Astyanax mexicanus: one gene and its partners. The protein of the gene in region 3 interacts with the protein of the main gene of each other region in a pairwise test. Links are inferred from orthologs where the notes say so. Each region holds a gene or a part of one and is shown on either strand. Other genes may lie near its edges.

Region 1 (8,063 bases), on a different chromosome or scaffold from region 3:
CCTCAGTATAAAGAGTTTGACATTTAAGTCTATATTAGTGTTGATTAGGGACACAATATTTCACAATATTTCAAGGTATTTCTGCAATAACGATAATCTTGCCAGTATGAAAAAAAAAAACATAATTTTATTAATATGAAGAATATTCTACCGCAACAAAAGAAATCCAAGTAAATCCCTACCAAGGATATGAATTTGTCTAAAATAGTATTAATGAAACAAAATAAATGATGTAACAATAGAATAATGCAATATAATCAATATATATTACAATAACCCTCAGGGGCGGGTTTATTCAAATGAGACGGCTGTCTCTCCACAGTCTTTCACCCTCCTCTGGTCTCTACTGCGCAGACTCTGGTTTCAGGATCGCCAACATGGAGGAAAAATTTTGCTTCATTTTCATTAAATGAATGGGAACGGCGACACAGCGTCCGTCTTTTTACAGTCTCTGGTCTGAATTGAATCTTCTGATATGACACTCCTGGAAAAAACTCCTCAATTTTATTTATGGTCCTTCTTTTGTTTTGAAGCCGGTCTGGGTTCGTTGGGTGCTCAGCTCCCAGAATCGCCCCTGGGAGGAGATAAGCATGAATCTATTTGCACCATGTCTAATGCCTGGCATCGTCTAGAGAGGAACAGTGTGCTCTGAAATGATGGTACTACATCCAGTACTTTTGGAATTAGTTGAAAAGTTGGGATGAGGTGGGATCATTAGTCTTCTAACATCCTGGCCTAACGTATGCTCTTTGTATTGTATGCAATCAGATCTTCACAGCAAATCTCCAAAATCTAGAAGAAACCCTTCCCTGCAGAGTAGAGACAGTTACTCCAACAAAAGCACAATAGACTCAATACTTTGGGCTGTCCATCACCCTGCTGCATTTAGTGTTCTCTACTTTGTTAAGAAATTGTGTTGTCTGAATAATAATAATAATAATAATAATAATAATATCAGTGATCAGTTTTTATAGCAATTATAAATTCTGTTTAGTCTACACTTACTGGTAGATTTAAACTGGGTCTGGTTCAGCGGTTGCTGCAGTTGAACTGTCCGGACTAAAAGTGACTGCAGCTGTTGTCCATCTACATCCCCAAAGCCTGGTGTGAGGGTTTCGGCCAACTGTGTGTGATTACAGCGTTCAGTTGTGTAGAACAGCTTTAGGAAAAACACTTTTGATAAATGAACTGTGACTGTGCTGGAACACTGTTTGTGGACGTCTGAACTAAACCGAAGCCCTGGCCAATGGCAATGAGTATCCAGTACCAGTCAAAAGTTTGGATACACCTCAAATTAAGAGGTTTGTCATCATTTAAATAAAATGTTCTGTATTGTAGATTAATACTAAAGTCATATAAAATATGTAGAAAAACATGGAATTCTTTAGTGAGTCATCTGGAATTCAGGCTTTCAGTTAACAGCTGTGCTCATCAAGAGTTAATGACTTGAATTTCTTGTCTCTTAATGTGTTTGAGAGCATCAGTTGTAAAGTAGTGAAGAGGTAGAGTTACAGGTATACAGTGAATAGCTCTATTTGAGTAATGTTCTCATAATATATATTACGAGAAGCAAAAACTAATCAAATAAATAAAGAAAAAAAAATACTTTAAGAAATGAGAGTCAGTCAATCCGAAAAATGTAAAGAACTTTGAAAGTATCCTCAAGTGCAGTCACAAAGATAATCAAAAACGTTATGATGAAACTGGCTCTCATCAGGACCGCTCTGATCTGACAGACTGCCAGCAACTGCAGTAAAACCAGAATAAGAACCAGAATAAGATCTGCAGAACCAACACATAGAATTACTAACAGAATGCACATGCTCTAATTAGACCTGATACTGTCTCTCTTCCTTTCTTTCTTTTACTTTCTCTCTTTTTTACTGTCTCTATCTTTCTCTCTCTTTCACTGTATCTGTTTTTCTCTCATTGGCTTTCTCTTTCACATTCTCTTTCTCTCTGTCTCTCTTTCACTGTCTCTATCTCTTTTTACTTTTTGTCTCTCTCTTTCACTTTATCTGTCTTTCTCTGTTTTTCTCTCATTGACTGTACTGTCTTTCTCTCTCTGTCTCTTTTTTATTCTCTCTCATTGGCTGTCTCTTTTACACTCTCACTCTCTCATCCACTGTCTCTCTCTTTCGCTGTCCCTCTCTCTCATTTGCTCTCATTCTCTCTCTCAGTCTTATCTGTTTTTATTTCTCTCACACTCACTGTCTCACTCTGTCTGTCTTGCTCTCTCACTGACTCTCTTTTTCTCTCTTATTCACTCTCTTTTTGTCTGTCTCTCACTCACTGTCTTTCTCTCTCTCGCTCTCTCACTCTCACTGCCTCTCTCTCTCTCTCTCTCTCTCTCTCTCTCTCTCTCTCTCTCTCTCTCTCTCTCACACACACACACACACTCGCAGTGTTTTCCCAGATTTCACATTCACGTGCAGCTTACTCGCGCCTCACTCAGACATTCTGTCGCCAACCGCGTGACGTCACTCGCGCTAGCACCACCTCCCACTGCCGGGTGTCTCCTTCCGCCGCCGGATCCGCACAGTAAAATAGTCCCGCGCAGAGTGCTGACCCGCGCGCGAGATGCGCATAAAATCACATTTTATTTATTTATTATTTTTTATTTAGCAAAACTACACGGCCTGTATTATTTTAACGAGATATATCGGGCCTGATAAGAACCGACTTTAAATTAAACTCTGAGACTCTCTCATTACTTTTATACCTTTATGAGTTTATAACTTTATTTTATGAAGTGAAAAGATGTTCCTATAGATAAGAACATATTATAGTTAAATATGACTCATGCCATATTACTAGAATGAATATAATACCATAAAATAAATCCATAATCATTTTACAAATTAATTAAAAGCAACAATAACAATCAATATCGTGTTAAAGAAAAAAAAATAATAAATAATATAAAAGTAAAACAATTTTCCTAGCATTCTGGGCCCTTTTTGTGGACACATTTATCATGTTTTTTTGACAGCTATAAATGACAGCTGTATTAAACTATTTAAAAAAAAATTAAGCAGGTTTTTCTAGCAAGGTAAAAGTATGCAGAATATATCTACACTCTGTTTAGAAATATTCAAAAGTCTGTTTACAGTCTTCTCACAGCGTAGACAGATATATACAATAAAGCACATTATATGAAAAGATGAATAGAGAGATAAACAGCATATAATCACACTTTTACAGATACAGAAAAATAATAATTGTCTAATGCTTATTTGCATGCAGAAACTTTTCTAAACTATAAACCAGTGAGACTTACTGATAGTAAGAGACTTTCTGAGAGGTATATTAGCTTTAATAATCTGCTTTGCTTCGGTAACTTTAGACCAAAAAGCCTGTTCATTAAATAAAAATATTATTCATGTACATATTATTAGCTATACCTGCCAAACTTACAACCCTATGATCAATAATCCAGTGCAATAAATTCATATCGGTCATAATTTAGTAGCAGGTTTTAATTAAATCAGCTAAATCATTTACAAAGTCTGATAAAATTTTATTAATTATTAAATTTACATTTAATGTTTCAGTATTTTAATAGATGGTAAAAAACAAGTAGAAATTTTTAAAAATTTACATTATACAATAATATCATCGCTGTCCAATGAAAAACAACTTTACATGAGGGATGTAAAATCTCTTAACTTTCAACAGAAGTCTATGTAAAAAGAGTTAATTTCAGGTATTTTTGGAGAATTCCTTTTGGACCATTTATCAGGCATTTGTGACACAGTGTGAGGGACAGTGTGTATATTCAAATTATGTAGTAAACTAAAAAAAAATTATATTGGACAGTGACTATTGGCTGTTGTCCATTGTGTTTATTAAGTTAAAATATCACAATAACATAAACGAATCAGCTGGTATGTTGCTTTGTTTATAAACATCATTTTATTCATTTTGTTTTTTGTTTTGCTCCATTTTTATAGTAATATAAAGTTATTTAAAGTAATGCATGCTTGCCTTATTATGATATTCCATGATAATTGTATCAGTGACATACAATGGTTTTGATAAAATGACAATAATACTGAATATTTGCAATTAATATTATATTAATAATTAACATTATATTAATCTAAAATTTCCAAAAATTCCAAAAATTAGTACTTATCATGACAAGTGGTGCTTTTTATTAAGGGACACGTTTCTATTAAGATAATATATCATTGTTTGTTGTTTGAAATCGACAGAAGTTAAAAAGTAGAGAAATTAGGATCTTCCCAGCCTAACTTCCAATTCCACCTTAAATAAGCTCTGCTCTAATGCAGACGTCCCGGCGGAGGTTCAAGCAACACACTGACTTTTTAAGGTGGAACGGAACATTCGAATTGAAACTAAGCAACCGGACCTCGCTCCATGCCGCGAAGTGATTGGAGTAGTTTTGTGCGGAGGGTGATGCGGCCGGCGCCGCTCTGTCTCTGGGCGAAAGCGGATCAGCTCGAGCTGAGAGGAGCGGAGCTGCGGAGGAGGCGCGCGAGGTACCGCAAAACTTCAGCTTTTCTGCTTAAAACACGTGTTTTACTGCATGCTGCTGGCCCGCAAGCGCGCACGAGCGGGGAACTTTACTCCTGAACTTTTTGCTCTGTCCTGGTGAACTTTCAGAAGTTGTTGAAGGTTTGTAGAGGGAGCTGTATGTGTGTGTGTGTGTGTGTTTGTGTGTGTGTGTGTGTGTGTGTGTGTGTGTGTGTGTGTGTGAATGTGATATGCATTCAAATGTGATTTATCACATCTGCTTATCACAACATGTTTTGGTCACTTGTGTTTGTGCTTGCTGCAGGTTCTGCATGGTGGGCTGTAAGAGTGTCTGCATGATGCACACCCATCCCATCATGCACTAGTGTTCACTGTTGATGTTTTGGGGGTGACAAGGGTCCAGTTTTGGGCTTATGAGATGTTAAAATGGGCTAAACCTCTAAATAGCACTGCATGTCCTCTAGTGTGACACATAGCTTAGAACCTAGAACTTCTCAGTGCTTCTATCACTACTTGATAGACACTGTTCTAGTGTCTGTGTTTGAAGGATCATTGAATGCCATCATGTCCAGGGCTTCCAAACCTCTGTAAACCAATATACATGTCCTCTGGTGTGACAAATGGCTGAATGTGGAGCTTTTCAATTATATTCTGTTTGTGCTGGTTCTTTTGTGGTGCTTATGCTTGAAGGATCAGTAAATGTCCATATCTTTAGGGTCTCTAGAACTCTGTAAACAATTATGTGTCCTCTGGTGTGACACATAGCTTAGAGGCTTAGAACATCTCAATAGACACTGTGATCTTCCAGCTAGTTTTCTAGTGTCTATGTTTGAAGGATCAGTGAATGCCAACATGTTTGGGGCTTCCAAACCTCTGTAAACAATACATGTCAACTGGTGTAACAAGGTGGAGCTTCTTAATTCATACTTTTGCTGTTTTATTCTGAACACATACCGGTTTGTTTGTGGTGTCTTTAAGCTTTAAAACCTCTGTAAACAATTGTTTGTCCTATGGTGTGACTAATAGTTAAGCAACACAATTGATAAATGACAGAACTTGAAGTTTTTAAGTGGACACTTATGCTGATCTAGTGTGATCAGACCCTGCTTTGTGGTAATCATGCTTAAAGGATCAAAGATTGTCCATATATTGTCCACACATAAACATATAAAAATATTGCATGTCCTCTGGTGTGACAAATGGCAGAATATAGGGCTTCTTAGATGACACCCATACTGTTAAATTCTGATCATACACTGGTTTGTGGTGACCATGCTTCAAGAATTAGTCAATAATCATATCTTTCTGTTCTCTTAACCAGTATAAACCATTGCATGTGTGACTGTTTGCAGAACTTATAGATTCTCAGTTGACACCATTGCTGTTTGCATTAGTCTGGTAATACACTGGTTTGTTAGTGGTGACCATGCTTGATGGATCAGTGAGTGCCAAGTCCTTTGTGGTCTCTACACTTTTGTAAACCATTGCATGTCCTCTGGTGTGACAAATGGCAGAGCGTAGGGCTTCTTAAGTGACACCCATACTGTTATTTTCTGACCACACACTGGTTTTTGGTGACCATGCTTCAATAATCATGCTTCTGTTCTCTAAACCACTACAAACCATTGCATGTCCTCTTGCATGACTGTTTGCAGACATCATTAATCTTTGTATTACACTGGCTTGTTAGTTGTGACCATGCTTGATGGATTAGTGAATGACAACATCTTTGTGGTCCCTAAAACTTCTGTAAATCATTGCATGTCCTCTGGAATGACCAATGCAGAGCTTAGAACCTCTCAATTGACACCCATGCTGTTCTCATCTGAACACACAAGGGTTTGTTTGTAGTGACCATGCATGAAGAATGTAGAATCCGTGATTGCCTATATATGTGGGGTCTTTAAAACCCTATATACCACTAGATGTCCTCTGGTGTGACAAATGACAGAACTTAGGGCTTCTTAATTTTCTCCAAAATGTAAATTGGGCCCTATACATGTCACTCATTAGGCCAATCATGGTGCATCAGAGAGCACTCTGCATGTGGGAGCTGATAGACCACAGTCAGTATTCCTGACATCATTGAAGATGACATATCAGATTACTCAAAGGACAAGAATTCGTCCTTGTCCACGCTTTGGTTGGATTGTTTAGTCCCAGGGCGAGCTGCAGGATTGTATCTGGGTAGAACATGCTGTGTGGGGAAGGTGCAGGTTCTGGCTCGGTTGGTCTGAACAAAAAAAGCAAATCAAGGTTGCTCCCACTTTCTCATGAACTGCAAATCAGCCCATAATATTGGATATCAATAATGAAGGTTCCTTCGTCCTTATGCCATCCTTTCTGACTTTAAAATTTGAGGTTTTCTGGCAGGACTTTTATTGTATGTGATGTTTTATGTGTGGGAGATTCACTTATGTAAGACAAGGTCAGTGTATTGCATTGTGTTCACAATCAGACTTTTTCTCATCTGTTTATTTAAAACTATGAAAGGGGAAGTCCATCAACTTTTTCAAATTCCTGCTTAATATAGTCACTGTAGTCAAAGTCCTTCACTCACTGTTTTGAAACGTGAGGGTCTGTTGTAGAGATGACACAGTGGTGCTGATGGGAACCTAGAAACTAGAGATGACTCTGCCTACTATACAGACAGACAGACAGGAAGGAAGGAAGACCATTTAGGAACAATGTATATGTACACTGTATTGCTGTCTAAAACCACCAGTGAATCTACATATACAGTACTGTGCAAAAGATTTTATGCACCAAATCAAACTTGGTGCATAACTAATCCATTTATCTCAGCAATACGTGTGTTTTTACCTGAAAATGCACCACATATGATTTGAACAGATGCAAATAAACACAAATACAGTAAAATGTAACAAGGAATTCTCATTTTTAACTATGAGTATGTTATATCCTGTGAGCCAAGCTGAAGAACAAAGTGTAGAGATTCCAGATTTCTCCTGGATGCTCCTCAGCCAGCATGTGTATATTATGTTCAGTTCCGTCAGCAGCTCACCTGATTTACCAATTTACCAAAGCAGGTGTTGATTAGTATGATGAGAACTAGAAATAACTCCATTAAACTCAGATGAGTAGAGATTAGAAGATGTTTTAAGGAAAACAGGGCTGAATTTTATCAGTCAGGTATTAAGGAGCAGTAAAGCCACTCAGCTGAAGTACAGAGTTATAAAAGAGTTTTTGGTCACGTTTCTCCAGCGCAGAGACTGGAGCAGTATTAGCATTAGCTGCTAACCACAGTGCTAGCTCTTTTGCAGTTGAGAGGTGAGTGTACTCGAGTATATCAGACTGTAGTCTGCGTGTTTACTGTGTTAAAACAAGCTACGTGGGACGAACCGCTTGCTGATAGCGCCCTGGATCTAACCCGAAGCACTCAGGCCTAGCTGTGTCAGAGCACTAGCGCTGCCGCTAACCGCTGTTGAAAATATTGGAAATTTAAGCTTGCTGTAAATAAACAGAAACGCTTTACTCACACAAATAAACAGTTTTCAGGTGAGAAATCTGTGTAGATTAACATCCAGCACTCGTTTGACTTT
Region 2 (8,345 bases), on a different chromosome or scaffold from region 3:
GTTTTTAAATCAGAATAGACTTAAAAGTTTATAAGCCAATGAAACAATAGCTCAGCCTTGATCACTGCACTGGAGAAAAAAAAAAAAAAACAGCACTAGAGCCAAAATTAAATAAACTAAAAGACCTCATTTAGAACACATTTTTTTCATGTTTGTTTATTTTAGTGTTTATTTTAAGGATGGCTTGTGAACAAAAAGGTCAATATCAAATCTAACATAAAATGTTAAGCACAGGCTTTCAATCCAATAGACATAAACCAAAAAAACAGTTACTTTATTGTAGTTAATTGGATTTCATTTAATGTTAATACAGATTTTATCTTATAATATATATAAAGAGTGTTCCTTTGTGCTATCATAAACTTTTCTGGGTGATTTGTGCTTTTTTATTTCGTTTTATTAGCTAAATAGATACGATGCACAAATGCTTATCTTGCACATCTGGAAGACATTTACTCAGGACACACAGGTTTGGTCCCTTATTCAGCTTATGATACTCAGGACAGGTATATATATAAAGCAAATACATAAAGACATAGAGATGTTTGCAAAAAAAAAATGCGGAAATGAAAATGAAACTAAACTAAAGAGACTTTTGTTTAGTTAGAGATTTAATGCATTTTTTTTTGTTATTATTATTATTATTATTATTATTATTATTATTATTATTATTATTAGATATGGCTTTTCTCACGCATTCTGACAAGTTAAAGTGTGATTAACTCATACAGCTGCACTGCTTGTACTATTAAACATCTAAAAATGGATTAGTGCTTATGATAAATTGATGAAAAAAACTGCATTATACTGCTTAAAAAAATCTGAAAATGTATATAAATAAATATACACACATATATAAATATAAATATTCTAATAACTATTAACTATCTTTAATTACGAGATGTTTGGATTTGTTTTGAGTTTGCTGCTTTACCTACCAATTATTGTCCTGATTACTTTTATCAGTATAAGCTATTGATTTTGACGAGTTTTAAATGAATAAACAATGAAATAAAACAGGATTTTTGGCCCTTTGAATCTTATTTGCATTACGTTGCTTACAATTCATACCCTTGCAGTGACTCTCCCCTTTAATTCTATTAGTATAAACTGATATTGATGATAGAGAAGTTGTGCTTATAATATTAAGATCAAAATGCAATAAAACAAGACTAAAAGCTAAATTAAAAAGCATGACTACATAATAGCAATATGTTCTACTACTAACAGTTAATTTTACTTAATAAAAATAACTTTTAAGGCTTAGTTTGTGTTGCACTAAGTTAGGAGCATCACTTTGCATGGATGTATGGTACTCTTGACTTCTATCAGTGTGACACAAAAATCTTGAGCTGAAAAATCTTGAGTTAAATAGCAGCAGAACAGCATGAGGCATTAATTCTTGAAGTGCTTATAAAAGAGAAGTGTTTAAGAATTGAGTGCACACCTTTTTTCCTGGCCTTATCTATTCTTTATCAGGCGATTGATGAAAGAGGACAGCAAAGGGATGTGACAGTGAGGGATGGAGGCTCGTCAATAATGGAGAGAGCTTGTTTTGGGAGCAGGTGGTGTTTTCTTTCTGCCTTAGTTAACGTTAGATAGATGTGTGAAGGGGGGGGCTTCAGTCACTAACTAATTAACTGCCAGCTAATTCATTCACTTAGCTAGTTAACTAAGTAAGTGTGAAGATGTTTAACTAGCTGTTTAACCGGTTTGTAGTAAAACGCAGCTCAGATTAAAACCAAGCTAGCCTACACCTGTATAAGTCCAAGTAGACGTTAGATGTTGATGACAACTGAAGTTAACGTTAAAACTCAATGCGATGCAATGCCAGCCACTCACTTCGTGTTTTGTGTTGTTCTTCTTCAGTTTACCTCTCTTTTCTATCATAAAACCATATCATAAAATAACTTTTATCAATAATATTAGACGTTAGACGTTATCAGCAACAGACGTTAACGCTCAATTTTGTTGAATTAACGATATATATATATATTTTTTTTTCTTCTCCAATGCTCTGAAACAGCGTTTATGTCCGATGTCAGAGTTTAATTGTTTGTAAACACTGACTGATTGACTGATACGTAGATTTAATATGGGTTTAACGTTTATACGTTTTATATGTGTTGCATGTATTAAACTTAAATATGTGCAAACATACAGTGTAGAAAGTTCAATTTTAATAATATTGACAACCATTACTATTATTATACTTATTATAATTTATATTATTTGTCGCAAGCACCTTTCTCATAAAAAACAAAAGCATAAACGTTTAATCAATGTAAGAATTTCAGCACGAACTGATGCATATGAGGCAGTTTCAAGTAACCTGCACGTTTTTTAATGTTTTAAATGTTTTACCAATAACAACTTAAAACTTCAGAAATTGAGTTTAAACGCAACCAAAGAGCAAAGTGCAACGTCAACTCAATATTCATTTCACCTTACACGTGCAAGTTAATGCTTAACTTGTGATTTTCAAAGCCTTAAAATAAACGTTGAATCAAAGTCATAATTTCAACTGATTAACTGACGCCTATGAAGCAAGCAGTTTTAAGTAACCCATTTAAACGTTGTTTAAATGTTAAACGTTTTTCCATCAGCATCTTAAAAACTCAACTACTTAACTGTAGTTAGGTTAAACGCAACCAAAGAGCAACGTCTATTCGATATTCTTTTTTTTACCGTACACCTGTAAGTTAATGAACGTTTAAAGTCCAGGCATCGTTTAACGATACCTTAGACGTTAGACGTTACCTGTAACAGAGGTAAACGCAAAAAAAGAAAAAAAACTTAACGTAAGCTTAACTAATGCTTCAACTAGACGTTTAGCCACTCACCTTTCGTTTTGCGTTGTTCTTTCTCGTTTTTCGCAGCTTTTTTCTCTTCTTTTCCCATCCAAAGCTGACCGGCTTCGTCTCGCCTCGCTTCCCACCTTGACAGCTTCGGAAAAGGCGAGAAAACTCCTCAAAATTAACTAAATTAACCAAAATAAATGAAAATATAGCCGCAGAATCGCGAGGAGTCCGTTAGAAAGCGACCGTTACTGGACGCCAACGGTCACTCGCGCGCGCTCAGTTCAAATTCAGTTCGAGCTCAGTTCAAAATCAGCAAAGTTCGGAGGCGCGCGGCGAGGCAGCGCGAGAAATGCGGGCAGCGCGGGACCTGTGGTCCGGGATAGAGCTGCCTGCGGGAGTGGGAGGGGGTGTTAGGGGACTGGAGGGGGGCGGAGGGGCAAGAAGAGGGGTGGGATGCGGGGGCAGGTATGAAAAAATGAACCGCCCCGTCTCCGCCTCGTGCCAGCTCTATCGCTCTCTCTCTCCTTCTCTCTCTAGACCTCACGCGTCTGCTCTCGCGCGTGCCCCACTTTGATCTATCTCGCTCGTGCTGCGCTATACTACTCTCTCCGGTGGTGTGATGTTGTTGTTGATTTCTTTCCCCACCCGTTTTCCACACAAAGCCCCGCCCACCTGTTCCGCGATTGGTCAGGAGTTTGTTCTCTCTGTTTTGTTTTGTTTTTTTAGAAAGAAAAACCAGGATGATTGACTAATTAATCAATCATAGCAATAACAGGGGCGGGGCTTACCTGATAGATAGATAGATAGATAGATAGATAGATAGATAGATAGATAGATAGATAGATAGATAGATAGATAGATAGATAGATTTATCTATGTAAGAAAGCACAGTAAAGAATATAAGACTATAAAAGATGCTAACTGAGAACAGCATGAAAATTAACTATACCTCATAAGATATAACTAAAAATAAATTTTTTTTTTTTTTTTTGATAAAAAAGTCCAGGATGATTGACTAATTAGTCAATCATTGCAATAGAGGGGCGTGGCTTACCTGAACATCGGGTGGAACAGATAGATAGATAGATAGATAGATAGATAGATAGATAGATAGATAGATAGATAGATAGATAGATAGATAGATAGATAGACAACAATCGTACAGTAAGATAGCACAATAAGGAATATAAGAATATAAGTAAAATGCAAATATATCTGAGTCTCTGCACAAATGATCTTCTGGTGCAGGTGTGATGGATCACAGTATAAACCAATAGGGAGTCGGAATGGTATATGTTTATACTTCTCTACATCCAGTCACAATCAGATTCACTCTATCTGGATGGAGAGATTTATCTGGATAGGGGTTTTATTGAAGGATGAGAAGCCGGAATGAAAACCAACTGAAATGAAATAGGAGTAACGAGAACAAAAAAGTTGTCTTAAAATATTTGTATTTTATTACTTCTCTACGATATATATCACAATTCAGGGCTTACGATGCCCCCAATGGATTAAATGTGATGTAATCCATCACAATTGGATAAACTGTATTTGATGGTACAATACAAGGAACATTGCTGCAAATTATGGCACATTCTAAAACTTGCATATATTTATCTTTTTCAGTGTTAGCCACGCCCCTCTACAATATATTACATCATATCATATATCTTCACAGCAATATTACACAGTTTTCAGCAGACATGATAGATAAGGAACTTTTGGACGAGAACATCAGAATACATGTGGGGAAACAAACCCGCGGGAAAACCGCACGCTTCAAGGAAAAGGGGCGTGGCCAAGAGGGCACACATTCACACCAAATCTTGCGTGATGAGTTTAACTCGGTTTAAATATTTAAATATTTAAATCCACTGCGCTGTCACTGACTTTCAGTGCAAAAATGCTGATTATTTCACGCAGTTACACAGTGCACAGGTGAGTGAGTGCAGATGTGAGCTTCAGCAGGTGTGTGTGTGTGTGTGTGTGTTATAACACCGTTGTGCTCCTACTGAACCAGAAACTGCTCATTTCTCAGCAGAGCAGAAAACCTACTACGAACAGGAAAGCAACGAGCAAATTAAAGCTGTAGCTTATTTTTCTAAAAGGGTCATTTTACTGACAAACTTTGTTATTATTTGGTTTAAAAATATTACAGTAAAATTTAAGTATTGTTTAAGATGCAATGAATAATTACTGAAGGGTTTGAGGTGGAGTTTTTATCATTTGTATTATATTTTATTTCATTTTTTATTTTATATATAGTATATATATATATATATATATATATATATATATATATATATATATATATATATATACAGACAACATTTCTTCCAAATTGTCATTTAGAGCATTTATTTGCAGAAAATAAGAAATGACTGAAATAAACAAAATAAAAAGATGCAGAACTTTCAGACCTCAAATAATGCAAAGAAACCAAATTCATATTCATACAATTTTAAGAGTTCAGAAATCAATATTTGGTGGAATAACCCTGGTTTTTAATCAAAGTTTTTATGCATCTTGGCATCATGTTCTCCTCCACCAGTCTTACACACTGCTTTTGGAAAAAAAAGCAAGTTCAGCTTGGTTTGATGACTCTGGAATACAATCTTCCCCCTGTATTCCAGAGGTTTTCAGTTTGGTAAAATCACAGAAACTCATCCTTTGTAAGTGGCTTTATATAGAGCAGAGAAAGAAAGAGGTAGTATTAAATATAAAAAGCACATTATATATTATTCTTTTTCATTTTCCTTTATCCTTTCTTTCTTACTTTTTAAAAATATTATTTATTTTTTAACTTTTGCTTATCTTGGTTATTTACTTATTAATAAATGCTCCGGTTCATTTATTTATTCATTTTTTGCAGTATGTGGCATTGTTTATTAATGTATTAATGTATTTGTCCATGAATATATCATTTATTTATTTATTTATTTATTTATTTATTCATTGAATTGAATGATTTATTTACGTACTTACTTGCTTATTCATTCATCAATTCATTTACTTGTGTAATTTATTCAGCTCCATATTTACTTATTTCGCATATATATAAATATATCATCATGCATTCATTTACCACCTATTTCTATAAATAGCATTTATTTATTTGTTTGTTTATTTGTTTGTTTGTTTGATCTCTATTTATATTTATTCACTTCAACAATTGCTTCCTCTTTACTGATGTGTTTATTTCCTTTATTTATTGCGGATAAATGCTGTGAGCTCGGAATGAAGCCTTTTCAGAAGTTGCAGTCCCCCTTCTCTCTCTCCCACACACACACACACACCTGTTGGTCAGCTCTCTAGGTTTCCGCTGCTTGTCTCCGTGCCGCAGTGAAGGGAACAAAAAACAAAACCCTCAACCCTCAAAAGCCCCCTCCTCACCATCCTCACCCCAGTTTCCCACTCACTCACCCCCACACCGACCCCCCGACCCACTGCTGCTGTGTAGGCTGAGCTTCATCCTGTGGAAACAGGGTGAGGTGGAGGTGCAGAGCGTCCAGCAGCAGCAGAAGCAGCAGCAGCAGAAACTGGGTCACTCTCACACCACTGCGAGGAGCATCTGTCCAAAACACACTTCAGCAGCAGCATCATACCTCACACCTCACACCTCTACATAACCTGAGAGTCCACTAATCAACCTCTCCTTCTCTCATTCTCCGTATTATAATGCAATATATTATTTTTATATAATTCATTGTAGATTTATTGTAAAGGGTGCATTCACTGCAAGTGTGTGAATTAAGCATAATTGCAATTGTTGCAAGTAGTAAAAAGTAGCAATAGTATATATTATATACTCGATATACAGCATATTTGCATTTTGTTTTTTGCAGTATATTGATATATTTAGTAAATGTTATTTATAACTTATCATCAGCATTGGTTCTTATCATCAGCTGACAAATGGATATATACTGTTATATATGTTCTAATTCATATAACTAATAAATTGACTCATTTTGAGTTACATTACCTCCCCCACTTTTTACCCATGCTCTAAACTCATACACCTGCCATGAAGCAGTAAAACATTTACTCAATATATCAATATACTGCACAATCCAAAATGCAAATATGGTGTATATAGAGTTTATAATATATACTATTTACTATTACTGCTTTTTACTATTTGCAAAAATTGCATATATGCTTAATTCACACACTTGCAGTGAATGCACCCTTTATTTCTATCAGCAATAAATCATATCAAAATAATGCAAAGCATAATAATAAAATGCATATATTGTACAAATTTATATATATATATATATATATCATTGCTGTCCATAAAAAAACAAGTATCTCCATTTTTGTCAGTTTTTAGTTTACTACATAATTTGAACAGACAAACTGTCCCTTAAACTGTGCCAAAATCTATTGATAAATGGACCAATAGAAATACTTTAAAATGACCTGAAATAAACTCTTTTTTTACATTGACTACCATTGAAAGTTTAAAGAGTTTTTTTATCTGTTCTGTAAAGTTGCTGTTTTGGAGATAATTGTTTTTCATTGGACAGTGACAATATATTATTTGTGCTATTTATTACATATTTTGACACTTTACTGCACCCTTTACTTCTATATATACATTTTTTTTCTTTGCACCAGGAGTGGCATAAAGTTATCCAAAAGCAGTGTGTAAGACTGGTGGAGGAGAACATGCATTAAAAACTAGGGTTATTCCACAAAATATTGATTTCTGAACTCTAAAACTCTAAAAGTTCAGAAATATGAACTGAACTGAACTGAAATGAATATGAACTTGTTTTCGCTCTGCATCTTTTTGGTTATTTCAGCCATTTCTCAATTTCTGCAAATAAACACTTTAAATGACGATATTTTTATTTGGAATTTGGGAGAAGCATTGTCTGTAGTTTATAGAATAAAACTACAAGGTTCATTTTACTCAAACATAAACCTACAACAATTAAATACTACTACAAAGTCTTAATTATGGGACATTTTGCCCATTTTAAGGTGCAAAAATTATGTACAACTTGCATTTGTGCTTGATTTGCACCCTGCATTTCTATCAGTATGGTATCATATATCATGCATATTATATATATATATATATATATATATATATATATATATATATATATATATATATATATATATATATATATATATATATATATATATATATATTGTACACATATCTTACACAGTATTACAAATATATACCATTACTAATGTTTACTACTAGACATTTTTAATTATGGATTTCTAAGATCTAATCTTGCAATGATTCATACACTTGCAATCATTGCACCATTTTACTTGTATACTTTTGAAATGCAAAATAGATGTAAAGATGTAAAACAAATAATGTACTTAATGCTTAAAAAAGTATACTAAATGTACACGTACTTTTTTTTTGCACAGCTTTCACTAATGACCCAATTTCTCTCTTATTATCTCACGCTTTTTTTTTTTTTAACTCAGTCGTTGCTCCTTATCGTCAGGTTGGAGCCGTTTCTCAGAAGAGCGCACACAGCCGTGGTTTTGGGACTCCACAAAAGC
Region 3 (8,538 bases):
GAGTTTCAGCGAGTGCTGCTCTCTTACCGGCTCTTAAAGAATCTGTCAGACAGTGGCATCTATCGTTATTAAATGAGTGTAGTGCACGCAGAGCTGCATCAGTGACAATGCATCCACACACATGCACGCGCAGCGGAGACTGTGTGAGTGTCGAGATGTGTTAGCTTGCGAATGTCTTCGAGGCTAATAGGAATTGCTCAAAACTTAACAGCTTCATAGTGGCAACAAAAGCCACTAACCAGAGATCTCATTTAAAGCCCAATTTCACAAGATAAATATTGGATATAAAAATTGTTCCCAGAGAGATACTGCCTCAAGTCCCACACGGTAAACATGTTGGTGTTGCTTACTCTGAATTTGTCTGACAGTTACATTAAAAAAATACATTCATTGCAAGAGCTGTGGCCTGCTGAGTTATCTGTCTTTGATCATATAAACACTTGTGTTTTTGAGCTAACGTGTGTTTTATAGCATATACATACAGTATATGATCAGAAAAAGGAATCTGAAAGTGTGTTCAAAAAAAGTTGAATTAATGTAAATGTTACTTTAATCTATTTTTTGTTACTTTATTTATTTATTTATTTTTATTTTTTTAAAGTGTTTAATATTTAGTGCAGTTCTCTCAAAACCCACAGAGTCCCAGAGTGGTTGTACCTATATTGGAAGCCCAATGTCTGTTCTTATTAATAAAAAGTTAATTTCACTGTAAAATGGTGTAATAGTAATATTGTGCTAGTATTTTATTACTGTGGCACAGTTCCTTTGGGAGGCCAGAAGCACGAAAAAAAAGAATTTCATATAGTCCCCCTTTAAAATGACAAATTTATTGTTTATCGCAATAAATATAGGACAATATATCGTCCTGAAAATTACGTTTTCGTGACCGGCCTACTCACATATAAGAAATATATGAATAAAATTGTTAAAAGCCAATCTACCTTTCCAAAGTTACCCCATGTGATGGTAACTCTGTTGGTGGCTGTGGAGAGATGAAGCCAGGGTGTGATGTTTATAGGGCGACAGGGCCGACGAGGTTCCACACCAGGTTTATTTGAAGGATAATAACCCTGGAAATGACAGGTGACGAAGGTAAATATTTAATAGAAATTCTGAAAAAACATCATCCCAGAGAAATGTTTTTTTGCAAACATTGCATAGATAAACTATTTTGAATAAAATCTGTAAAAAAAAAAAAAAAGACTTCTCTTAATTTCCGTTATGAATCACAAATCAAATCAAATCAAATTAAATCTGCGAGTTAGAAGTAAAGTGCATTAGGTCTGAATTTACAAGTTCAAGAAACCGACATGAATGCACTTACTGGGACATGACAGTAGGACTGATTCACTTTGACAGCAATATTCGGAGGGTACTGGTCCTCCTGAACACCAATGGAGTCTGTGTAACAGATTCTGAAAAAGACGAAAAAGGATGAATATTCAAAAAATTAGAACTGAAAACAACACATCTACACAGTCCAATAATCCAATAGCACACAAATAAAGAAACAAAACAAAAAGACACATTAAAACAGACTCACCTAAGAACCACCTGAACTGATTTCACCCCTGCACGAAGTTCACTGAGAACACAAAAACAGTTTTGCATTTCTTTTAAAAACACAAGATATAGATGTGGAAACACAGATAATACTAAAAACAAACTACCTATAATAAAAAGGTACTTATGTCTATTTGCCCTTTTTCAGCTATTACTCACCCGGAATTTCGGATCTGGTCCACCTGGCCCTGTGTTAGTTCAAAAACACACTGACTATCCTGAAGTTTCTCACTGTTCTGGGCAACTGCAAAGCATAGCAAGATTTAATAGAGTCTAACATCAGCCTTTCAACCTCTAATGGTCAATGAACACATCCAACAACAAAAAACCAGTGACAATTCGTGAAAACCAAACCAAAACAAAACCATGACTTACTTAGCTCTGTAGGTGGCAACAACGTTTCTAAGTTATGGTAGAAGGGCAAGGGCACTAATTTAACTTCGGCTGCTGGCGGTGCGGCCAGCTTGGGCATGCCATTGAGGTAGTCTGTGCCCTGGGCTGTGCCTCGAGGAGAGTTGTTTAGGGTAGGGTAGGAGACTGCCGGGACCCCCTCAGGGCGACGGGCAGCCAACCATCCAGTCGACTTGGGAAAGCGTGTCTCATAGAGCTGGCGGACGTTCTTCAGCAGCTCTGGGCTGTATTCCGTCTGCACCAGTCTCAAAGCTCTCCCCACCAAGTCCTGCTTTAGACCGCTTTTACTGCGCCCCATCGAGGCCAGCAGTGTCTGCAGGTCAGACACCCGGAAACTCTTCACCATGTTCTGACCAGAGGAGTAGCAGGCGTGGAGAGAGAAAAGAAAAATAAGAGTAAACACAGTTAGAGTGTCTATAAATAATCTGATGATTTTTTTTATTAGTCGATTAGTTAACAATTATTTCCATTATGCCTTTGATCACTTAAAAAAGAAAACAGCTGTACATCGGATATAAATGTCATTTAAATAACAGTATGGTGTAAACATGTGGAAAGCACTGACATTTAGTGAGTAAATATTTAATCTATTGACAAACCTCAAATAATGCAAAGAAAACAAGTTTATATTTACAATGTTTTCAGAAATCAATATTTCCTCCTGGGGCAAAAATTCAAGCAGTTCAGCATAGTTTGATGGCTTGTGATCATCCATCTTCCTCTTAATTATATTCCTGTTTTTTTTTAATTTGGCAAAATCAACGAAGCTTTATTCCAGAGCTTTCTATATAACTCGTGTCTTATAGCTTGCTTATAACAGTATTAGTAGATTATTAACGGTTTATGATAGCTATCAAAGCTATTAGCTACCTAGCTAATAGCATAACACCATGCCAGCCTACATACATCATCTCATACTAACCTAGCTAAGCTAGCGAGTAGCTAACTAGGGTTTACCCGCCAGTTTGTAGCTACGCAAGCCCTTCATAATGCTTCATCTGTTTACACTAAATGACCATGATCACCGTGTTCATAGTTCACAGTTAACCTACTAAACCAATAATACATAAAACACTACTAATGAACTGTCTTAGTCAACTCAGCAGTCTACTTGTGAAGCTCTTTGGTAGCTGTTAGCCCATCATAAACACACGCTGCTGCTGCTGTAGTACATACAGTGTGTGCTAGCTAACGCTAGCTAGGTTAGCTAAACGGCTACTGGAGGCTATTGCGAGTGCGGAGGGGGCACCGGATGAGCTGAGCAGCAGATCACTCATTTCCCAGCTTTAATACTAGTTGTCAGACTACCAGCCTGACCCGCCAATGCCCTGTTAAGCAGGAGCTGCGGATGTTTAGTTAAGCCCGGACCTCAGCTCGAGGTTTTGTATGAGCAAAGTGCTACTGTTCTCAGTCAGTTGAGCTGTTTTGAAGTCCCATCATTCATTTAACGTTAGCCGCTAGCTAACCAGCTTAGCTCCTGCTCAACTGCCAACGCAGTTCACTGGCTAAGAGCGGGAATAAAACCGCCGTGACACGCTGTTCAGCGCTCACACCGCTGCCGAAACCAACATCAACCGGCTCCTCTTTGCTCCCGGAAAGCACTTTTATTTCCCGCAAAGAAAAACAAAAGCGCGCATCCACTCACCATCGCTTCTACCAGTTCGGCCGCCATCTTCACAAAGCAGCGAGAGTCCTCAGGCGAACGGCAGCTGCAGACCAATGAAAAGAGCCGACCGCCTTCGGAGACGGCCCGCCGCGTCCAATCAGCGCCCTGAACGTCACTAAGTGGGCGGTGTTGTCTGGAGCGAGGCGTGGCTTCGTGCGTTTAAAGTCACAGCGCTCTTTTAAAAAAAGAGCACTTGCAGGCAGGTCTATCCGTCCTCATAGGCCGCTGGTTGTTGTAAACCCGTCCAAACACTGTGTGAATTTCATCCTCCGGCGTGCCTGCTTTAATAGTCTGGAGAGAGGGCGAAAGCCCGGTGTATTTTCAGTCCAGGCTCAGAGCGGGCGGAGGACGCTCAGCGTGAAGTGGACGGGAGCGCGTGGCTCCGCCGGCTCCGACCCGCGTGGGAAAATCCATGTCGGGATTTTGGCGACCCAACATTCAGGAATAAACGCTTTTGTTTAATTTCTACCTGCTTGTTTCACACCAACGCGTTTAAAAGGCCACGAATGCTTTCGGCAATATAAAACGCTGTTATCATAAACTGAGATGAGATTGAACTTATGGTTTAATCAGCAGGAGCGAGGAAATAAGACTGGACTAGGAGATGGAATGGAAAAATCAATTGTGCACATTCCCCACCCAACTCCATGCCGTGTTTTACTGGTTGAGTGTGAGCGGTGGGGGATGGGAGCAAAGGGAATGTTGAACAGTGAGCGGGGTAAAAGAATCAGGGCTATGAATTGTCACCACTAGTCTGATAAGAAAAGCAAACCCTCTTAAAGCTGGATTGAACATATTAAGGGAATTCAAATCCAAATCAATCAAAAAGACATTTTCACCAGATTCTTACCCTTACAATTATAGTTAATTATTCAGGGCTGGGGTAAAATTTCTGTAAGCATTCTTTTTTCTTGCTGAAATGATAAGTGATAATACATTGCAATATACTCACAATTGTAGTCAGTGTGATAGAGCTGTGGTGTTTATTTCTGTTGGTTTGATGTCAGGCTCTCTTAGGAACAGTTCACTGTGTAGAAGAAGGACATGACTGAACCAGTTGAGGCCTGGTGCAGACATGCGGGGGAGCAGTTGCTCTGTGTTTTATTTATACACTTTTAAATACACTTTTTAGTTGTGGTTCTTCTGTTCTCCTGCATACTGGGGTTAAAGTACAACAATATCAATATAATTAAAATGCTGAATGGCAGCTATCATTAAATATATTTATTTTTACTGTTTTTATTTAATTGGCGAGACATTCACAGACCACATTCTTTTTATATACAGTTGTTAGGCCTGTTACAATAATTATGTTACCAAGTTATTGTACTATATGTGGACATGACCGAAATCATTTTTGATCACCTAAATCTTTCTTATTACGTTTTTCTTAACAAGGAGAGCCCATTGAGATGTATTTGACATTATGCTGACTTTGTTAATAAACTCCCAGAAGCTGTGAGATGTGTCCAGACTGTAACCTGAAAACATATCTGTTTACCTGGGCTTCCCCAACAGTTTAACTTAATCTCCGTTGCATACTTTTAGTACTTTATTTCTTTTATTTTTGTTCTTAGTTTTCATAACTTTTTATTATTTTAATTATGTCATGTAACTTTCTTTTAACATTGTTCCATAAGAAAGCTTTGCTATCTTCTTATATGCCTTTTGGGCATTAATACCTTTATTTTAAGATCTTAAGACTTTAGGATTGCTTACATGAGTTTACATGGTTGCCAGGTCACACTCATTATTACTGATTCGGTGATGATACTCATGTTTCATGACACTTAAATAATTAGTACTTATTTAGTGCTTGCTTTGTTTTGTACATTTTGCATTAAACAAAAACTGAAATCATTTTTAGCACCAGATTTATTGCCAGGTAATCCTAGCTGGTGATACATTGCTGATGCTGTATCAGGTGTCTTCTTGTCTACAGTTCTGCCATAATAAGCAAAATTCTGCTCTGTAGGATAGTACTTTACTTATTTAGAGGTGTTTGCTGGACCAAAGCTGTTAGGATTAAATATTCACTAAAGAATTCATGGTTAAAAGTACTGTTTAACGTTTAGCAAACTATAACTCGGTCATCAATATTCAAGAAATAACAAGAGACTGAAAACTGCCCCTTCCTGTTTTAGGACATGTTGTTGATTAGAGACTACAAAAAAGACATTCAATCTGAAAAGGAATGTTTTTATTAAGTTAGCTGTCTCAATAATACATTTCTCAATGCATTTATTTTACAGTCATATGTTAGTCATCACTATACATGAGATGGAGCCCAGAGATGAAATGGAAAATTCAAGAGATAAAAATAAAGTAAAACAACTAAATTCACAATATTTCAAAACCCAGGTTCAAATGGCCACTCTGTAAACATGGTGCTCCAAATAGGAACACACTGAAACAAGAGAGCTGGAACAAACATTGGCATAAGGAATGTATACTTCAACAGCAGGGCCTGAAATCATAAGTAATGGTTATTTAGGAGGAAGAAGAAGAGTGCTGACTGCACTGAGCAAATAATAATAGCAATAATAATAATTCTGCATAAATGGACGTGGCCATATCCACTCACGGAACTGCAGAACTTCAGGCAACTGGAAAGATAATTCTTTGCACATGCTAGGACTATTAAGGCGCATGTCAGTTTTAAAGATCAGGCACAAAGCAGCAGATAGAAAAGGCATGGCACTGAGAACAAAAAAATATAATAAAATCTTATCTGCAAATAAAAAGCATGCAATTCTTATGCACATTTCTGATGTATAAAAGGTCTAGCTACTGCCAGTCATATCAGTATTTGATAAATATAGTTAAACACCTTTAACTCGTGTCAGTTTTTTTTCTTGAAAATATGTAGCATTTTCAGCAAAAGGTCAAAGAAGGTCTGCTGCACAGTTAATGGGTGCACTTACTGTAGTGTAAGGAATCACTTGGTGAAAAAAAAAACCGTAGTGTTATAATTCAGCAATTCTGCAATTAAAAGTGTTTTCACAGTCCCAATGAAATTTTTTAAAGCTGCCACGGCTTGATTGTGAGCAGTACCTTATTTGCATGATTGTTTTATCAAGTAACATTACTTACATTCTTTCACATATGCACAAGTCATTGTGTAACCGGTTTGGCAACGTAATTTGTAAACAAAAGTACAATGGATTCCTATACGGGATGTTTAGTCCCCTTTCTCTAGACTTGCACAGTTTCACTGTTATGTCATTCATGTGGAGGCATGAAGTTAAGATATCTGCTATACGCAGGGGGACAAATAGAGCACTCTGGCTCCACCTGGAGTCTGGAATGGTTCATCACCATGGTCCACTTTCTGGATAACTGGGCACAGCAGCAGGGTACTGAGGAAGACTTGGGCCAGTCTCAGCGATGGCATTGAAGCCAGCTTCTCTCACAGGGGCACTCTTCCAAGCACCGGTGGTCCATTCCTCTTGGGCACGCTGGAAGCTGCCTCCTCCTCCACGATAAAGCCGGTGAACCTGAAAAGAGAAATCAAAATATGCAACATTTATCACTCTTTTTGATACTTACATTATGCAATGATTCAATTAGGTTTGGGTAAAAATGGCAAAAACATGTAACAGGGTTGGGACAGTAAGTCAAACTGAAGCAGATACAATCAGAATCTCTGAAAAGCTAGTTTTAGAGCCAGAGCCAATTAGAATCCCATATACTACCACACTTTATGTTCAACAGTGTGTGAAACCAACTTAATGTCCACCAGAGTACTTAAAAAAAAAACATTCCTCTAAAAGGTTTTTCATTACAAAGAATACTATACTCTATAAGAGAGTGTATTAGATGGGAGATTTGTTATACAAGAACACACAATTGTTAATGTGGACCTCAGATTGTTTTGTGTAGACACAGGACTGTTTGATGCGACTTTATACAATAAGGGTCAATTTCTGAGACGGAATTACCGTAAGCCTAATTTTGGACTACATAGGCTTTTGGAAAATAGAAAAATAAATTCTGATACTAGAGTTAATCCTTGCATATATTATAAAAGTTACAATAAGTTATCAGATTACATTACATGATTATAGCATTAATTTCTTCATTTATTTAATATGACAGGCAACAGGGAGCTGAGTCTATACCAGTTTGCTGATTTCCCTGCGCTAACATTCTTAGTCTTCAAAAGACAAGTTCAACGTTCTTCTGCATGCTAGTGTTTATACATACAGTGTAAATGCATTACAACATCTGTCTTTGCGAGAAAATTAGGTGGAATAAACAGGGTCCTGTGGTCCTAAAGACCACACTAAAGAAGCATTTTTTTTTACCTAGTTTATGTCTGATGCGTTTTCTTAAAACTAGTAAAAGAATTTGAAAACTGCTGACTCAAAACTGCCAATGTTAACAGTTCTCAGAAAATGGAAAAAAAAGTCCATACACATCTATAATTAACTAACGGCCATAAGTTATATGAAGATCTGGAATATTCCTTTAAGGTGTGTCTTATATAGGCAGTTTAGTATGCTTTGCACTAGACTTACCCTGATAAGAACCAGCCCCATGAACACTGTGTTTACAGTGAACAGCACAGCCGAGAAAAGCATAACCACAGCCGATCCCACGTTAGTGCCGAAAAACATCACTGTTGCTATCCAACCACTAGAGCAAGGCATGAAGGGGTGAGCGAGTGAGAGAGAAAGACAGAGGTAAACTGGGTTAGTCATTACCAGGTCTTGTATCTTTCACCTATTTATCTGCACACCGAATCATGTGATGATGATCAGAATTCAGTCTTCTCTGATGGAACAGCTGAGCTCATTCAGTGATCTGACCATTTAAAATACTGTTTAAAATTGTTGTGAGAACTCAGGTTAAAAACTATTTCTTATAGTTTCCTATAGTTAACTCAAGTGAATATT
Region 4 (7,883 bases), on a different chromosome or scaffold from region 3:
TATTGTGACAGGCCTTAGAGTACTCAAAAAAGTAAAACACTACGATAAAATATTGTAATATTGCGCATCTCTACGCTCGCAGCGATATCTCTCATTCTGATTTAGCTGGTCTTAATAAATATAATGTAATAAATAAATGTAATAAATGTTTTAAAATGCCTCTGAACTTCTAGGAGTATCAGATATGTTAATATATATATTTTAAAAGGCTAATTGAAGAATCTAAGAATCTAAATCACTACATAATAATCAACAATTTAGATATGGGTCATTATTTTAACAAAAACCTGTTTAAAAGTTTGCTGTTTTAAACGTTGGCTTTTCAATTTCCCAACTCTTTTAACTACAGACACATAAACTGACATATTATTTTTATTTTAAGCTCTAGAATGATAAAAAATAGCTACTGAATAATACAAAAAATATACACACATTAAGTAACTTCATCCACTTAAGTAAGTAAAGGGTCAGTATGTTGGCCTACATGTCGGATTCTTGCTTTTATAATTAAAGTTGAGCTACTAAATGATAAATAAAAGATTACAGATAATAATAAGTGAGAATAATGAGTAAGGAATGAGTGAATTTGTTAAATATTTAACTTTGTAAACGTAAATATAAGTATATAAGTCATTTTAGTTTCTCTTATGACTGAACAGTACATATATGTATTAAAACCTGCTATACTGAAACTGCTAACAAACAACATCCTTCATTTTACTGCTTTAAATCTCTTATATAATCAGATTTCATACTTTTAAGGCTTTAAATCATGACATTAGATCATCAGATCCATCATCAAGATGTCTGGGTTTGCTGCATAGTTCTAAATCCACCTGCGAGTGGAGTTAATAGTGATACTGAGGTCAGGAGACACGGCCGCCTCAAAGCCAAATGTCAACAGACTGACTGTCTGCACTCAGTCTGCACCTTTATAACAGCAGCTTCAGTCTATAAAAGCAGGGGAAATTAAATATGACTGTAGAAAAGACTGTATTCAATCAATCAGGGGTAATATATCCATTACATACATCAAAAACATAACAGATACATAACAAAAGGCTGTAATATGAACATATTAGATACTGAACTCTAGATACTGCCCTGTATAAGCTTAACTAAACATTAAGCTTGTACTGTAACTACATATGATTTAGAATAAAATAACATATAATCATATTATATAAACTGTATATATAGGTCAGCTAGATTTTCCTATAAATGGCAGGTCTATATATAGATATTAGACTTATTAATATATTACAGCAACACCTATAACATGTCAATAACATGCAATATAGTAGCTAAATGGGATATAAGCTATGGGGATAAAATTGTATTATAATATCATGATATACTTGAACATACACGTATAAAAATAAATAAAGTATTGTATTGTAAAACTACAATATATATGTTTTGTTTGTCATTAAGAAAGCTATAGGATAAATACATTATATGTCTATAAGTATAGATAAGTATATTTTGGAATGTTGTGCTATGTGATACTGATGACCTAGTTACACTGGATACTATAAGCTATAGCTATTGTAGCTATACAACTTTGTAAGACTGTATTATTATTATGTCAGACATGTATAAATAAAGGTAGTGTAATGCTGTAATATATAATACATAATGTCTTAAGTAGCTACACAGAATACTATCTATAAACTGTAGCTAAGTGTTTAAGACATATATTGCATATATTGTCAATACAGTGTATATAAGCTAGCTAGGTTATATACTGTATAACTAATTCTTATATATGATACATACAGTAAATATAAATAAGTGTAAATGATATACATCAAGTATATATTGTAGAATTGTACTATATAATACTGATGACCTAGTTACATTGAACACTATAAGCTATAGCTACTGTATAGCAGCTATATAACTGTGTAAGACTATAACTGTGTTTAAGCTGGCTATGTCAGGTTTGATGTTAGATAAGTGTATACCAGTATGTATATCTTAGCTAGTGTAAGGATGTGTGCATATAGGCTATAAGTTAGCTAAGTTAATGGTATACATTATTTAAAAAGGCATATAAAAAATATATATATATACATATATATATATATATATATATATATATATATATATATATATATATATATATAAAACATATAAGCTATGTAAAATACTATGCTACTACAACACAAATAGTGTAGATTAGTATATACTATAGCTATACAACTATAAATATATAAAAAATATATAAAATATATATATTTAATATATAGGCTTACCTAGCTCGCACAGTCTGCTCATGTGGTGCGGGTTGCAGCAGACGAGCTCCGGGTTCACCTTGCCGTAGGACTCGCAGCCCGGGAGCCGCTTGAGCTCGGCGCCATGCCGGAGGTCCGGCCAGCGGAAAACCTTGAAGAGAAGCAGCGGGAGGGAGTAGGACTGCTGTCCGAGTTTGGCGTCCACTTTGCCGGGCAGCAGCAGGCAGGGGCTCCGCGCCCCTCCCCGGGACTCCACCGCCTGCAGGAGCCCCTCCAGCTGCTTCTCCTTTATCCGCTTCAGCACCGAGTGGGTCAGCGCCTTCAGTTCGGCCTCGGAGCCGGGGCCGGCCTTATGTCCGGCGGCTGGCTTGCCCATGCAGCACCCGCTGGTTCCCCCGGATCCTCCGGTCGTTCCCCCCGATCCACCGCCGCTGCTGCCGCCGCCGCTGCCCGCCTCTCCGTCTTCGTCGACGGGCGCACGGCACCTCCAAAGTCGCCGCACAAGCCCCGAGCGTCTGCTCCTGAACATGCGGCACTGAGGGAGGGTTGCCCGGCTACACAGCGAGCATGGCGCCGTGCCCAGTGCATGAAGGTCCCGGGACGGCAGACAGGCCGAGAGGAGGCGGGAGAGGAGGCGGCAGCAGCAGAGGCTGTCTGTAGCATGCGCCAGACTTTACTCTTTAATAATTCTGCACAACTCACACGCGATGTAGCTGCATTAGCTACATGCATTCATACATATAAACACACACATACACACGTATAACGTATACATACACACTTAACGTAACCTAGCTAGCAGCTTCCACACTCATGCATACAAATATACACACACATATACACACACAAACGATAAGCTAAAACGCTCCAGGTTCTGGTTCTCAATGCACAGGTTCTGGATGAAAACATGAAAACATCCCATACAGGTCGCGCGCGAGACGTGTGCGTGCGTGAAGGTTTGAGATCCAGGCAGTTTAGTGAACGTTACATCCACACGGGTTTTTATCCACCAAAGCAGGGCGATAATAATGATAATAAACAAGAAAAAAAGCCTCGCAGATCCACAGACACAATCCACGGCCAGGCTGTGGGTCCAGAAACAGGGCGGAGATGATCAGCAGGCGCGCGCGCTTAACACTGGAATAATGACGCTGGACTGAAGCGCTACGGAGCTCCTCCGCGTCGTGTCGCGTCGGTTCCGTCCAGCAGAGCGATTGAAGTTCCCGAGCCCTGAAAGCACGCGCGAGGGAATGAAGGAGTGGAGGAGGAGAGCTGGAGCTTCCCCCACTCTCTCTCTCTCTCTCAGTCTCTCTCCCTCTCCGTCTCTCTCTCTCTCTCTCCATTGGCGCGCCTGCTGGTCACGTGCGTGTCTAGACACCATGTCGCTTTAAAAAAAGCGGATTGTATTGCGCAAACACGAGCTCCGGTAGCTTCAGAGCTTTACAGGCGCGCGCGCGGGGACTCTGCTCTCAGTCTCGCGCACAAAGTTTCAGATCAGATTAGATAGATCACACTCCCGGACACTCCTGATTATTGGGAACTGCTAATATTACCATACCCGATTATTATTACAATTACTACTATTGTTATTGTTATAATTACTGTTGCTATCGTTGTTACTATTGTCATTATTTTTTTATAATGTTTCTGTAAATATTTTAATTGATGGCTTACTATATGTTCGATTTTGTCATTATTTTTAAAACAGTCATGCTAATAAAGCAAACTTGAATTTTATTGAAAATGAATTGAGTAGTAATAAAATACAATATAATATAATAATAAATTGCATGTATATTGAATATGCATTCACACACAAATCGGTCAAAAGTTTTAGAACACCCCCCACTTTGTCCCTTTATTTTTGCCATTTAAGCTTTTTTAGGTCTGGTCAATAATCGGAAATGGTACAAAATTGAAAAAAGTATTTTTTGTATTAAAAAAAGAGAAATACATATTAGTATATTGTATAAATATTGCATATTAGTATATTGTATACATTAAAAATGTTTTTTTTATTATTATTACGAAAACAGAGGTTGACATCAATATGCACTTTAGCTTTATTGTCACATGTATACAAATATATATAGGTTATAAAAGTATAGTATAAAGCACGGTTACGAATAATAAAATGCTATTATTTCATATTCTAATCACTACTGATAGTATACCAGAAAATAAATTAAATAAACTAGTATGACTGTTATTACTGTGTGTGTGTGTGTGTGTGAGAGAGAGAGAGAGAGAGAGAGAGAGAGAGAGAGAGTGGATGGGAGGCCTGAGCTGAGGACATGCGCAGTGCTGCCGCCTTCTGGCTCAACCTGTTTCCTCTGCTCTCAGGCTCGCGCTCTCACTCAGCTGCGCGCGCTTCCGCGGGGCTTCACGGGGTCAGATCAACAGTCCTGACCCACTGACCCACCACCGCCCCCCTCCCCCAACACTGACCCCCCCACCCTGAACACCCCTCCAGCTCTATCAGTACTGAGACCAGCCTGACATTCAGGAGCCAGAAAACCTCATTACTGACCAGAATACTGACTCACCCCACCAGCTCACACCATCCAACACAGAGAGAGAGAGAGAGAGAGAGAGAGAGGGAAAAGAGTGAAAAAGTGATAGAGAGAGGGAAGAAAGTAAGATGAAAGTACAGAAAGAGAAAAGAAGAGGGAGAGGAAAACAGAGAGATGGCAATAGAGACAGAATAAAAGATAGATAGAAAGAAAGAGAGATAACCAGACAGATCAGAGAGATAAGAGAGAAAGAGAATAGAGATAGAAAGGGAGTCAATAAGTGAGAGAGAGAGATGGGAATAGAGAGGGGGATGTAAAAAGAGAGAGAGGCAGAGAAAGAAAGAGATTATGAGAGAGAAGGAGAATAGGGAGAGGAATATAAGGACATGGCAATAGAGAGAGAGAATAAATGAAAGAGAAAAAAGAAAGGAAGAGAGAATGAGAGAGATCTGAAAGAGAGAAAGGGAATGAAACAAGGGAGACAACAAAGAGAAATGACAGTAATGAAAGAATGAGAAAGCTAATGAAAGAGAGAGGAATAAGAAGAGATAGAAAGGGTAAGAAGGGAGAGAGAGAGAGGTAACATCTGGCTGTGAGAGAGATAGAGAAAGAGAGAAAGAGAGAGAGAGCTCCCTCTTTGTGTCCCTCAGACAGTTTGGTCATTTGGGTGCCAGTCTGTGTGGCTGCAGGGCAGAAAAGAGGAGGAGGAGGGTCATAATGATGATGATGATGATGGGCTGTGTGTGTGTGTGTGTATGTGTGTGTGTGGTGTGTGTGTGTGTGTGTGTGTGTGTAGAGGCGCCACTCTGCGGCTCAGTCTCTATTGTTCACGGATTCCTCACTGGCGCCGAGCTCGCGCTCTCAGCTGAAGGTAGTCTGGAGGAAGGAGAGCGTTTCCTGCGCTGTGATTGGCTAGTGCTCTGTCCTCTGTGCTGGGATTGGCTATTTACATTTGTTCTTTAATGGAATTGGCTAGATACTTTTCTTCAGTGCTGGGATTGGCTAATTACTTTTCTCCTGCACTAATATATTAAGTAATACGTTTTCTGCACCAGGATTGGCTGCTGCTCTAGTAATCACCTGTGCTGATATTGGTTAGATTGGCTGCATCCATTGCTGACACATATGTACAAATGCACACACACAGCTCCTCTAGTCTCTGTTCAACAGTACTGCCAATAGAATAAGAACCTTGGGGAAAAAAAAAATAATAATAAGCTATTGGCACGTCATTATTTATTCTATAGACGTTCTTGAGACATTTTATACTGGATATTTAAATGTTGAAAAATCGAAAAAATAAAAAATAAAATGCAATTATACTTATATAATGGTGTCAATCTCTTTAAAACATGAGTTAGTGTAAATAAAGTGCTTTTATGATTAAAAACACATTTTTACTGATGCCATATTTACATCACTAAACAAAGGGAAAGAGGGAGAAGAAAAAAGAAAGATGAGAATAGTGAGAGAGGAATAGAGAGAGAAAGAGAGAAGAAAGAGAGATGGGAAAACTGGTGAAATGAGTTTAAAAATAAAATAAGTAGATGAATAGATAGACTAATAAATACAAATAAAAAAATACTGTATTGCAAAATTAAATACCATTATTGAGACCACAATATTGATATTTTCTTACACCCCTACACACAACTTTCGAATTTTGGTGCGCTAAACTTCTGCACAGTACATATACATTAGCTCACAGACGCCCTGTGCTGATCCACATCACCCTAGGAGTGATGAGGGGAAAGAAGAGCACCACCCACTGTACTCTACCCACCCAGAGAGACAAGGATCTCTACTCAACTGTGCTCTCTCGGGGCTCCGGCAGCTGACAAGCTGCATGACTGGGATAAGTGGCTGTTAAAGTGGTCCTGTAGCTCTGGGATAGTTCCACCCTCAGCCTGACAGGCCTGCATGACCTTAGACGTCATCAGTGAGGTGCGGGTCAGGCTGCTTCCTGTGCCCTGTTCACACTTAGGTCACGTCTGAAGAGTAACGTTTCACCCAGCCCAGGTTTATTTTAGAGCTGCTTAATAATAGCACCTCTAAAATAGTGTTTACAGTCTAATTAGCATTAAAACTGAGCTTTAAAACTGCAATTCTGAGGTGTTTGAATGAGAGAAATCAGATTTATTTATATATACAGGTCTGAAAAAATGAAGAGATCACTTCAGTTTCTGAATCAGTTTCTCTGATTTTGCTATTTATAGGTTTATTTTTGAGTAAAATGAACATTGTTGTTTTATTCTATAAACTACAGACAACATTTCTCCCAAATTCCAAATAAAAATATTTTCATTTATTTACAGAAAATACTGAAATGACTGAAATAACAAAAAAAGACGCAAAGCTTTCAGACCTCAAATAATGCAAAGAAAACAAGTTCATATTCATAAAGTTTTAAGAGTTCAGAAATAATCAATATTTGGTGGAATAACCCTGGTTGGTTTTTAATCAGTTTTTTTCATCCATCTTGGCATCATGTTCTCCTCCACCAGTCTTACACACTGCTTTTGGATAACTTTATGCTGCTTTACTCCTGGTGTAAAAATTCAAGCAGTTCAGTTTGGTGGTTTAATGGCTTGTGATCATCCGTCTTCCTCTTGATTATATAAAATCAAAGAAACTCATAATTTTCAAGTAATCTCTTATTTTTATCTAGAGCTGAATATTGCGCTTTTTACAACTGATGTTGAAGTGCTTCACACTCCTCTACTTATCCCAGTAGGGCGTTTATATACATTATCTTTATGTTTTTTGGGGTTATATACTGTACGGGTTCCCCAATTCTTCTCCTGGTTGTCGGCGCTGTGAATACACGGTCATCAGGGACGGTGCACAAAATAAGACGTCACCCCTGAAGCTCGGCTGAGACCCTTGGCAGCTCTAAATGTCACGCTTTTCTCACTTGTTAAAGTGCTCTGTGTTCGAGGCTGGAGAGCAGACGCACCCCTGAGGACACATTTCCCAACTCTCAGAAATGTCAGCATAATGGCAGCGTGGAATATTTCCATAATCTCCATTTACATCTCATCCCAGAACACGCGGGTCCACGGCCTCCCCTAAAGCGCCTTAAGATTCCTGTAACATGGATCTGATTGAAGTCATATAGGACGTCATTGGACTA

The links.
Region 1: the proteins of pias4a (region 3) and smad1 interact in a two-hybrid assay, tested with the Homo sapiens proteins (2 studies listed by BioGRID and IntAct). The link is inferred for Astyanax mexicanus from reciprocal best matches to the Homo sapiens genes PIAS4 and SMAD1.
Region 2: the proteins of pias4a (region 3) and DNA-binding protein SATB1 interact in a two-hybrid assay, tested with the Homo sapiens proteins (2 studies listed by BioGRID and IntAct). The link is inferred for Astyanax mexicanus from reciprocal best matches to the Homo sapiens genes PIAS4 and SATB1.
Region 4: the proteins of pias4a (region 3) and smad7 interact in a two-hybrid assay, tested with the Homo sapiens proteins (2 studies listed by BioGRID and IntAct). The link is inferred for Astyanax mexicanus from reciprocal best matches to the Homo sapiens genes PIAS4 and SMAD7.

Annotation. Positions count from the first base shown.
Region 1 is NC_064414.1:49,450,280-49,458,342, forward strand, and holds the start of smad1 (mothers against decapentaplegic homolog 1), read left to right. Parts: upstream 1-4,415; 5' UTR 4,416-4,505; exon of another isoform or gene 4,506-4,641; intron 4,642-8,063. UniProt on the Homo sapiens protein: Transcriptional modulator that plays a role in various cellular processes, including embryonic development, cell differentiation, and tissue homeostasis.
Region 2 is NC_064408.1:119,013,104-119,021,448, forward strand, and holds the start of DNA-binding protein SATB1, read right to left. Parts: upstream 3,337-8,345; 5' UTR 2,844-3,336; intron 1-2,843. UniProt on the Homo sapiens protein: Crucial silencing factor contributing to the initiation of X inactivation mediated by Xist RNA that occurs during embryogenesis and in lymphoma.
Region 3 is NC_064423.1:23,646,089-23,654,626, reverse strand, and holds the start of pias4a (E3 SUMO-protein ligase PIAS4-A), read right to left. Parts: upstream 3,770-8,538; 5' UTR 3,647-3,769; coding exon 3,620-3,646; intron 2,324-3,619; coding exon 1,939-2,323; intron 1,808-1,938; coding exon 1,723-1,807; intron 1,586-1,722; coding exon 1,544-1,585; intron 1,416-1,543; coding exon 1,325-1,415; intron 1,071-1,324; coding exon 942-1,070; intron 1-941. Other genes in the region: scamp4 (secretory carrier-associated membrane protein 4), read right to left, coding at 6,955-7,137, 8,161-8,278.
Region 4 is NC_064424.1:46,993,014-47,000,896, forward strand, and holds the start of smad7 (mothers against decapentaplegic homolog 7), read right to left. Parts: upstream 3,544-7,883; 5' UTR 2,767-3,543; coding exon 2,259-2,766; intron 1-2,258. UniProt on the Homo sapiens protein: Antagonist of signaling by TGF-beta (transforming growth factor) type 1 receptor superfamily members; has been shown to inhibit TGF-beta (Transforming growth factor) and activin signaling by associating with their receptors thus preventing SMAD2 access.